Ovis aries: one gene and its partner. Each later gene encodes a partner of the first gene's protein in a complex. Links are inferred from orthologs where the notes say so. Each region holds a gene or a part of one and is shown on either strand. Other genes may lie near its edges.

Region 1 (5,423 bases):
GAGAAAATTCCATCACTGCTCATCTCAAGTAAATCTTGTAAGCTTCCACTGTTACTTTCCACACCCTAAGTTTCTAACCTTGTACAATAAATATCCTTCAGGCCTCAACCAATTACTTGTTCTCTACCCATTAAAGTTCTCACGTCATTTTCATAGAAATGCATGCTTCATCTTTAATAACTATTTCACAAAATGAACTTTTGGAATATAATCCTTTCAGGAGAGAGGAATCAGTCTGGACAATAATCCCATCAGGTGTTAGGTGGAAAAGGAAGGCTAGAGTTCTCCCATCTCAACTTAAAAAGATCTTGTAAGGTATCCCAAACAACTCTGGCTTCATCTATAAATTTAAAACATCTTCCACCATTCATAAAATGTTATTTAAATTACTTACATTTTCACTCTTAAAAAAAAAACAAACCTATATATTTACCATCAGTAACTAAAACAAAACAAATGTTGTAAAGAAACAAATGAGATAGTACCCTTTAGTTTCTTTTTTTTAAAAAAAATTTTTCTGGCTGCACCTTGAGGCATGTAGGATCTCAGTCCCCTGACAAGGGATAGAACCCGTGCCCCTGGCACTGAAAGCAGAGTCTTAACCACTGGACTGCCAAGTGCCCCTTAATTTTAATTGCTAACATTCATAGGAAAAATAAGCTTCAAAATAATGAAAATAAAAATCCTTAAACACTTCAATCCTTACTATTTTTTCCTTCTCTAAGCTGGAAATTCCTCATCTCGATAGCCACGTATAAAGGTCATCCAATGTTCCAGTGTATCACTTTTTAGCTTCAGATGAGCCCAGTTTTCCTACCACTCAGGCAGAAAGTGAAAGTTGCTAGCACAGTGCCTCAGAAATTAAGAAGGACTGGTGGAACTCTTCTGCTGTAGTCCTGAATGGCTTCTGTCAAAATGGCCAAGTTCATGAAACCTGGGAGGTGGTGATGCCCCTGGCCAGTCATCATGAACACCTATGATCTTGCTACCTTGCTAGCAAGGTACAAAGTGAAAGCTACCATGGGCAAGAAGAAAACTGCCAGGAGGTCAGAGAGCAAGTCTTTTGTGAAAGTTTGTAACTTGAAGTATACCACTTCAAGCCCACAAGGTACTCTGTAGGTATCCCCTTGGAAAAAACTGTGGCCAAGGAGAATGTCTTCAGATACCCTGCTCTTAAATGTGCATCCCAACAAGAGGTCAAGGTCAAGTTTGAGGAAAGATACAAAACCAGCAAGAACAGATGGTTCTTCTAGAAGCTGTGGTTTTAGATCTGTTTTGTTTCAGTTATTAAAAATACCCAAAAATCTGAGGGGAAAAAAAAAAAAAGAACCGTGAAGAATTCTAAATACCTGTGTATTTCCTCCACTGACATACAGCACAGTTGGGTTGGTGGCTCCAGTGATGAGGCGGCCCATCTCAATGTGACCTATACAGTGGTTAACACCCAGCAATGGCTTATTCCATAACTGGGCCACAGTACGGGCCACAACAGCCACAGAAACCAGTGGGGCACCCATGCCAGGACCTATGGGGACAGAATAGGGCTTAGAATCCTATAGAGATTGGGAAAAACAGAGTTGAGGGAAGCGGGGGATGTGAAGGTACAGCGGATGTAGTGGTGGTTTCAAAGGTGAGGTGCAGACTATTTTGACCTAGCTGGGTTCCAGGTATATTCTTCCACTGCTGTGCACACTTCTAGCTATACCTTTGGTGTATGCGATGCAATCAATATCCTCAGAGGTTAATCCAGCCTCTGTTAGTGCCTCCTGCAGCAGGTCCAGGATAACAGCTCGGTGGTGCCTAGCAGTATCACCTGGAAGGAATCCTAGGAGACGGACACAAGTCAGAGATCCTAAGAATTTTCCTACAGAAAGGCACCTAGAAGTCAAAACAGACATTTCAGTAGGGTAGGAAGAGTCCCCTCCCTTTTCCTCAAACATCCTGTCTTCAGATATAGTCTTTTCAGCCTGTTCAGCTAAGCTAAACAGCTCTGAGCAATGCCCTTCTTCATAACTAACTCCTATTCAGGACTCAATGATACCTATCTCATACTTTTTGGTGATGCCCTGTGACTCTACAAACACTGTGCATGGTAACATCATTTATATTAACATACTATATGTAACATGTAACAATTACAGCATTATAGTTAATCGGTACTTTTCCCAGCTTAACCATGAGCATCTCAAAGCACTGCCTGTTTTATCTTCACATTCTTGGTGCCAATGAAGGCAATGGCACCCCACTGCAGTACTCTTGCCTGGAAAATCCTCCGGACGGAGGAGCCTGGTAGGCTGCAGTCCATGGGGTCACTAAGAGTCGGATACGACTGAGCGACTTCACTTTCGCTTTTCACTTTCATGCATTGGAGAAGGAAATGGCAACCCACTCCAGTGTTCTTGCCTGCAGAATCCCAGGGACGGGGGGGTGGGCTGCCGTCTATGGGGTCACGCAGAGTCGGACACGACTGAAGCGACTTTGCAGCTTGGTGCCAAATGCCGAGAAGCTTGAGTGCTAAACATATATATCCATTTCTAACGAGTAACCTGTTACAACATCACCTGTTCAGGGAGGCTTTTCAGGTATACACAAGCCTGCTGCCCTCTCCTATGGAAGGAGGTGTTTGGGGGAAAGGTAGCAAAGACAACAGAGCTTAGAAATAACATTTACGGAAAGTTGTCAGTGTATCCGATACTTTAACTCTCCAGACCAAATGACGCAGGTAATATCATTCCCATTTTAAGAACAAAGTACAGAAGTCCAAAAACAACTACCGAATATTCTAAGGGCAGCCGATAATTAGCACATAAAAGGTGGTCAGTATAGGCTGAACAACTCAGAAGATCCAGTTTCAAGTGCCTGTAACTCTTCTACCCATCAGCTTCGGGATAATGTGTGTGCGTGCTTAGTCTTGTCCAACTCATGGACTGTAATCCATTAGACTCCTCCGTCAATAGGATTCTCCAGGCAAGAATACTGGGGTGGGTTGCCATTCCGTTCCCCAGAGGATCTCGACCCACGGATCGAACTCAAGTCTCCTGTACTGCAGGCAGATTCTTTACCACTGAGCCAACTGGGAAGCCCTTTTACCGTTACATAATCTCAGAAACTAGGATCAAAAATTATGAGACACAATGCGCACTCTTCACCAACGTTTAGAAAGACGGCAGGGGATGCTGTGCGGAAAATTGCGCCACGAGTTACAAATCCGCAAATCCTCACCTGTGCCGGGAGGCGTGACGTAAGTCCGCCGCGGATTCGCCAGTACTTTGCCATCCCGTACCACTCCCACGCCAATCTTGTTGGCGCTGCCTTCCAAACCCAGCACCGCCGGCATGGCTCCGAGCTAGCACTGGAGCCAAGGAGCCCTCACCAGTCCGCGCTGGGACGCAGACTCCGGGTCGCAGAGTAGGAGGATGAGCCAGTGGCTGCTAAGCAGCCGCGCCAACCAGAACAACAACTACCAAAATATTCCCGTACGTAGCGCGCCAGCGCCGGTCCCAATCTCTGTCGTTACGACGACCCATCAAGACCCCTTCGAGGGCCTGTTCGCTTAACTGCCGGGAACGCTGAGCCGGCGTCTGCTCCTTAAATTCCTATCCGTTCCTCTGCTTCTCTCCGATAGTCCAGCCCAGCCTTTTCCACTGATTTTGTTCTCTCTTACACAGCTTTGGGATCTCTAGTCAGGGTGGCAGAAAGAGTTGTGAATCCGGCATATTGATAAACAGTCCAAGAATGGAGGGTGGGGCCTTCAGTGTCCCGGAGTCCAGAAGGGCGGGAAGCTTTTGAGTCACGTGGTACAACTAGACCAATGACCCGTATTCCTCCACCCCTGGATGAGCATCTCAAATCACGTGACCACGCCAGTTACCCACGTGGGGCACGGCGTGCTCCATTCTTTGTGCTGGGTTAAGGAGGAGGCAGACAGGGGCCGAAGCAGGTCAGCTGAAGGGTTTGTGTTGTTTTGCCCATCTTAGCAGCTTCTCTGGACGTCTGATTCGCAAGGCTAGGTCGGGACTCTCAATTAAGTCCCTCATTTGGCCGGAGGGCGGATCTCGCGAGAAGTGTATAAGACACGATGAAATGATCTAGTCTGAGGGGTGAGGGGCTGAAAGGCTGATGGTGCACGGAGGCGGGGAAAGAATTCAGAGATAATACAGTTTCAAAGGCGGTACTTGGTACGTGGGCGTTGAGGGTGGAGTCTTCTGCTCTAGCTGGTTTCACGACTTCTTTGCACTTGTAGGCAACGCGATCAAAATACTGCTTCAGTGGGCGAAGTGGAACTGGTGCAGAAGGGCCTACATTACAGTGATGCCGAAACGTGGGAAAAAGGGAGCGGTGGTCGAAGACGCGGAAGAGCCCAAGACTGGTAAGAGAATGAAATGGGCCCCTCTCCCCAGAGGCGGCGATGGGGATGTCTATAATTACCTAGTTGAACGGGAAGTACGGACCGTTGAACGGAAAGTCCAGACCGACACCGACAGTATTCTCATTTATGAAGAAGTCGCGGCAGCTGCAGGCTCTTAGTGGGTCTATAGTTTACTCTGGATCAAAGTTGGATACCGCCAACTTATATCCCATTATGTATTACTTATTTTATAGAGCCAGAGGCGAAGAAGAGTAAGGCAGGAGCGAAAAAGAACGAAAAAGAGGCAGTAGGAGAGGGCGCAGTTCTGTATGAAGACCCCCCAGATCAGAAAACCTCACCCAGTGGCAAATCAGCCACACTCAAGATCTGCTCGTGGAATGTGGATGGGCTTCGAGCCTGGATTAAGAAGAAAGGTTTAGATGTGAGTGGAATTAAGGGGGTGCAGAGGCTGATCTTAGGGTTTAATCATCTTTTTCCATCTTAGTCCCTAGCACGATAGTTTTCTTGTGGGAAAGGTACTAGGTTTTCACCCGAAAAACCTTGTTATTTTTCAAATGCCATTTCAACATTTCCAGTGCCATTTTCTTATTTATAATGTCCTCATCTCTTTCCTGGCATGTTGGGAAAACCTCCTTACTGGACTTGCTCCATTTTATTTCTTGCATAGCCAACATTTAAATAACTACCGCTTAAAAATCTTAGCTGGCTATCCAGGGCCTTTTGGGGAAAACAATTCCTCCGTGTTGCATGTCACACTGTTCTTGCCTTTCTGCCCTTAAGTTTTAATATTATGCTGCTAGATGTTATTTCTGCAGAGACTGTGTCTCATCTGTATATTTCTAGTACTTTGCATATAGATTTTTCAGTAAATGGCTGCTGAATTGATAATACTTTTTCTACATTTAATTTCCCTTACAGTGGATAAAGGAAGAAGCCCCAGACATCCTGTGCCTCCAAGAGACCAAATGTTCCGAGAACAAACTACCAGTTGAACTTCAAGAACTGTCTGGATTACCCCATCAGTACTGGTCAGCTCCTTCAGACAAGGAAGGGT
Region 2 (5,609 bases), on another chromosome or scaffold:
GAAGGAAATGATAGGAGTGAACATCAACATCTTAGGAATCAGTGAACTAAGATGGACAGGAATGGGCGAATTTAATTCAGATAACCATTGTATCTACTACAGTGGTCAAGAATCCTTTGGAAAGAAATGAAGTAGCCCTCATGGTCAACAAAAGAGTCTGAAATACAGTACTTGGGTGCAATCTCAAAAACGAAAGAATGATCTCGGTTCGTTTCCAAGGCAAACCAGTCAACATCACGGTAATCCAAGTCGATGTCTCAACCACTGATGCTGAAGAAACTAAAGTTAACTGGTTGTATGAAGACCTACAACTTCTAGAACTAATACCAAAAATGATGTCCTTTTCATCATAGGGGACTGGAATGCAAAAGCAGGAAGTCAAGAGATACCTGGAGAAACAGGTAAGTTTGGCCTTGGAGTACAAAAATGAAGCAGGGCAAAGGTTAAGAGTATTGTCAAGAGAACACGCTGGTCGTAGCAAACGCCTTTTTCCAATGACCCAAGAGACGCCTCTACACATGGACATCACTATCTGGTCAATACTGAAATCAGACTGATTATGTTCTTTGCAACTTAAGATGGAGAAGTTCCACATAGTCATGATCTGGAGCTGACTGTGGCTCATATCATGAACTCCTTATTATAAAATTCATGTTTAAATGGAAGAAAGTAGGGGAAAATCACTAGGCCATTCAAGTATGACCTAAATAAAATCCCTTATGATTATACAGTGGAGGTGACAAATAGATTCAGGGAATTAGATTTGCAGACAGAGTGCCTGAAGAACTATGGATGGAGGTTTGTAACACTGTGCAGTAGGCAGTGACCAAAACCAATCCAAAGTAAAAGAAATGCAAGAAGGTAAATTGGTTGTCCAAGGAGGCTTTACAAAGAGCTGAGGAAAGAAGAGAGGTGAAAAGCAAGGGAGAAAGAGAAAGATATACCCTTCTGAATGCAGAGTTCCAAAGAATATTAAGGAGAGATAAGAAGGCCTTCTTAATGAACAATGCAAAGAAACAGAAAATAATAGAATGGGAAAGACAGATCTCTTCAAGAAAATTGGAGACACCAAGGGAACATTTCATGCAAAGACAGGCATGATAAAAGGACAGAAATGGTAAGGACCTAACAGAAGCAGAAGAAATTAAGAGGTGGCAAGACTACACAGAAGAACTATACAAGAAGTCTTAATGACACGGATAACCACAATGGTGTGGTCACTCACCTAGAGCTGGATATCCTGGAGTCTGAAGTCAAGTGGACCTTAGGACTATGAACAAACCTAATGGAGGTGATAGAACTCCAGCTGAGCTATTTAGAATCTTAAAAGATGATGCTGTTTGATATGTCAGCAAATTTGGAAAACTCAGCAGCGGCCAGAGGACTGGAAAAGGTCAGTTTTTATTCCAATCCCCAAACCGTATGCAGGTCAAGAAACAACAGTTAGAACCAGGCAGGAAACAACAAACTTGTTCAAAATTGGGAAAGGAGTACATCAAAGCTGTATATTGTCACTCTGCTTATTCCAAGCTGGATGAAGCACAAGCTGGAATCAAGAGTGCCAGGAGAAGTATCAAAAACATCAGATACACAGATAATACCACCTTAATGGCAGAAAGTGAAGAGCAACTAAAGAACCTCTTGATGAAGCTGAAAGAGGAGAGTGAAGAAGCTGGCTTAAAACTCAACATTCAAAGACAAAGAAGATGGCACCCGGTCCCATCACTTCATGACAAATAGAAGGGGAAAAAGTGGAAGCAGTGACAGATTTTATTTTCTTGGGCTCCAAAATCACTGCAGACAGTGACTGTAGCCACGAAATTAAAAGACACTTGATCCTTGGAAGGAAAGCTATGACAAACCTAGACAGTGTATTAAAAGCAGAGACATCACTCTGACGACAAAGGTCTGTATAGTCAAAGCTATGGTTTTTTCAGTAGTCATGTACAGATGTGAGAGTTGGTCCATAAAGAAGGCTGAGTGCTGAAGAATTGATGCTTTTGAACTGTGGTACTGGAGAAGACTCTTGAGGGTCCCTTGGAAGGCAAGGAGATGAAATGTTAATCCTAAAGGAAATCAACCCTGAATATTCATTGGGTGGACTGATGCTGAAGCTGAAGCTCCAATAATTTGGCCATCTGAGGCAAAGAGCTGACTCACTGGAAAAGACTGATGCTAGGAAAGATTGAGGGCAGATGGAGAAGGGGGAGACAAAGGATGAGATGGCTGGATGGCACTGCAGTTTAAATGTACCTGAATTTGAGCAAGCTCTGGGAGACAGAGAAGGACAGAGGAGCCTGGTGTGCTACAGTCCATGGAGTTGCAGAGTTGGACACAACTGAGCGACTGAACCTCAACAACAACAATAGGGGAAGTAAGCCCTGATTCCAATATTTAGTTCTTAGGTTCTTCAGCTCAGGGTATTCAAGACAAGACTTAAGAATACAGTTAAAATTTCCATTTCTGCTTTCAAACTGCACCTACCACACTGGGAAATGAAAGGAGTCCCTGACAGTGAAGCCTTGTTCATCTGAAATCTATTCCAATCTTCAGAACCTGTTTCTATTCTGTAATAGATGGCGGTCTTCCAAACATATTTGTAAGTTCACGCCTGGGAAAATTCCTTTCCATCCTTCTAAGCCCAGCTTAGAAGTCATGCTCTTTCTGAAGCCTTCTTGGGTTCTCTAGGTTTGCAATAGTTACAAAGAAGCCTAGGGTCATTCCTTCTACTCTTTAATAAGAATGTTTGTCTGTCTAACCTCCCACAGAGTTCCACAAGAACAGGAACTGAGTCGCATTCACGTCATTCTTTCTCCAGAGTTCAGCCCAGTGACTGGCACAGGGCCGTAGGCGTTCAGTACGTTTTTTGTGTGACATAAATGAAAAGAGAATCGTCAAAAGCAGTCCTGCTAAACGAGTCCAGGTACAGCCCAAATTTCTCCGGGCGCCCCTGCCCGCCCTCCTGTCACTCGCTGAACCGTCTCAAAGCTCACCGTCCAAGGCCTCGTCGGGAGCCGCCGTCCCCCGGTCCTGTGCTTCCGGCTGTACCTGAGAGCCGAAGAGCTCAGTCACCAGCTCCCTCATCTGAGCCACACCGGACAACAAGCTCTGGAAAGGGTCGGTGACGCCCGGCGCCTCACAAGGCACCCGCAGCTGCTGTCGCTGCCCTTCCAGTCCGACGTACTCGCCCAACAGCTCCATAGCGACCGCTACGCTTCAGGAGCGCGCCACAGTGAGTCGCCACCGGAAACGGAAACCAGCCCGCCGCGGGCGCAGGCGCGGAGAAGGGAGAGGCCTGACTTCCGTTTGTCGGAAGTCGCTCCTCCCCCTTCCTTCGCTCCCTGTCTTTGGGATTGGTGTCTGGCACCGAGGCCCCGCCTCCTCCGGCCCCGCCCCTCGCGGACGCTTTTCCCGCCTCCGCCGGGGCCGGTCGGCGGTCCTGGTGACAGTTGAGGATGGCTGGAGCTGAGGAGCCAGCTGGGCGACAGTCGGAGTTGGAGCCCGTGGTATCGTTGGTCGATGTACTGGAGGAGGACGAGGAGCTGGAGAATGAGGCTTGCGCCGTCCTGGGCGGCAGTGACTCGGAGAAGTGCTCCTACTCGCAGGTGGGCGCGCGGCTCGGCCCTCGCCTCCGCTGAACCTCCCTTTCCCCACCGCCTTACCCTCTCTCTTCCCGCCGGCCGCGGCCGGCCCCCTGTGGTGGTCCAGCGCAGCTGTTGGTCGTAGGCTTCCCCATCCCAGGCCCAGGTGCCCTTTTACACTTAGTCTTCTGAGCCCCTTCTAACCTGTGGCCAGCAGGACGCCCCTCCTTTCTCGATTTTCCTCTGTCAGGCCCCCGACGTTTCTACGGTTTTGGCCCCAGAGCAGCTGCTCTTTCCTTCCTTCCTCGTCTCTTCTCTGTGCCCCGGCCGCTTTTCACCAAACCAACCCCGTGACCTTTCACATCCTGAGTATCTTTGTCCATACTTTTCCCATCCTCAGAGTATTTGCTGGGTACTAAACGGAAGAGTCAAATAATTAAAGGAGAGAGCTCTGGGTTTGAAAATCTCTCCGCGTAGGCTGGACTCCTGGACAGCTGGTTCCTCTGCAGTTTAGTTTGACAGGTGCTAGCTGGTTTTTTTTTTTGGCGAGAGGAAGCAAGTACCACGTCTCTCTGCAGTCGGCCCTCCAGGGGCATAGACCGGAACCCGAACAGCTGGTGGCACTGGCAAAGGAAAGGAGGGGAGGAGAGATGGCATTCGGAAGATGGTGGGAACAAGGACTGGAGGGGGTGTGACGTAGTGTTTGGTGACTCATTCTATGTTTCTAGGTTCAAAAATGGAGAAAGGTGGTAGAAGAAAACTAATGAGAGATGGTACTTGATAGGAAGAAGGTTATCTTCCAGGCAGGTGGAGTGGAACATTGCAGGATGGGGAGAGAGACATGGGGTCTTTACGTGGTGTTGCTTGAGATCACAATACCAGTTGTTATCAATGACCAGTTGAGTTTACACTGCAAAGTGGTTAGATTTTTTTTTTTTTAATACACCTGGCTTCAGAGGTATTTAATGTTGGCTGATATTTTAAAACCTTTGGTCGCCACTGGAACAACTTTTTCTCTGTTTGCCTTTTTTAAAAAAGCCTGTAAGTTATTTTTGAAACGTAGTTAGATTTTTAAAACAGACTTCCTTAAAAAATTTTTTTGTATTGTTGTAAAATATGTGGAAAAGTGCAGAAACCATGTATAAGTCTTGGGAAAGCAAAACTGAAAACACCTGCAGGTACATACCACACAGATCAAGAAATAGAACATTACCAGCATCACAGAAGCTTTCCTGGGACTCCCTTCTTCTCAGAAGATGGCAGCCATTATCAGGATTTGCTTTTCTCTCGACTTTTTATTTTGAAATGTTTAAAGTCTACAGTTAAAATGAAAAAATAATATTATGAACACCTGTGTACCTTCACATATATTCACTTTTTAATATTTTACCACATTTGTTTTATCTTTTACTTCTTCACTGTAATATACTTTGTTTTTGTTTCCTGAACCAGTTGAAAATAAATTTCAGACCATGACACTTCAACTCTAAATATGTCAGCATACATCTTAAAATCAAAGGGATTCATTTAATGCACTGGTTTTCTCTTTGGTGGAATCACAAGCATTTTCCAAAATTAAAGTATGATTATTCCTTACATAAGCTTACACACATTCTCCTGTATTTTCATGTGTTAAAATAGTTAAGCAGACCGGTTTATTCACAGCTGACTAAAAATGTTAACTTCTATCACTTTGAGAAAAAGTTATATGAAACGTGTATGAAACCTGCAACAGTGTTTTGGTATTCTATTGTATATGCTTTTTTATTAGTCTCAGTGGCTTTTACAGGAAGATCTTGACCCCAGATCATCTGATTTCAGTTATTTCTCAGATCATAGTGTGGGCATTAGGTTGCTCTGCCAGTGTTTCATCAGTTTCCGGTCTTTTTCCATTTTGGGGCTGTCTTTAGGGTTCAGTAAAGAGACAAGCACTGTATGCCTGCAGTACCTGCACTCCAGAGGGAGAAGAACCGGCAGGAATTTGCCTGGCTTGCAGTTACGAATGTCATGGAAGTCATAAACTATTTG

What was found. Proteins that work in one complex are often made in the same cells at the same time.
Region 2: OSGEP (region 1) and GON7 share a complex: the UniProt entries of both Homo sapiens proteins name them as parts of the EKC/KEOPS complex. The link is inferred for Ovis aries from reciprocal best matches to the Homo sapiens genes OSGEP and GON7.

Annotation. Positions count from the first base shown.
Region 1 is NC_056060.1:24,949,097-24,954,519, reverse strand, and holds the start of OSGEP (tRNA N6-adenosine threonylcarbamoyltransferase), read right to left. Parts: upstream 3,513-5,423; 5' UTR 3,338-3,512; coding exon 3,223-3,337; intron 1,826-3,222; coding exon 1,706-1,825; intron 1,526-1,705; coding exon 1,350-1,525; intron 1-1,349. Other genes in the region: APEX1 (DNA-(apurinic or apyrimidinic site) endonuclease), read left to right, coding at 4,312-4,369, 4,603-4,790, 5,288-5,423. UniProt on the Homo sapiens protein: Component of the EKC/KEOPS complex that is required for the formation of a threonylcarbamoyl group on adenosine at position 37 (t(6)A37) in tRNAs that read codons beginning with adenine.
Region 2 is NC_056071.1:55,648,484-55,654,092, forward strand, and holds the start of GON7 (EKC/KEOPS complex subunit GON7), read right to left. Parts: upstream 3,259-5,609; 5' UTR 3,202-3,258; coding exon 2,994-3,201; intron 1-2,993. Other genes in the region: putative E3 ubiquitin-protein ligase UBR7, read left to right, coding at 3,456-3,605, 5,492-5,609. UniProt on the Homo sapiens protein: Component of the EKC/KEOPS complex that is required for the formation of a threonylcarbamoyl group on adenosine at position 37 (t(6)A37) in tRNAs that read codons beginning with adenine.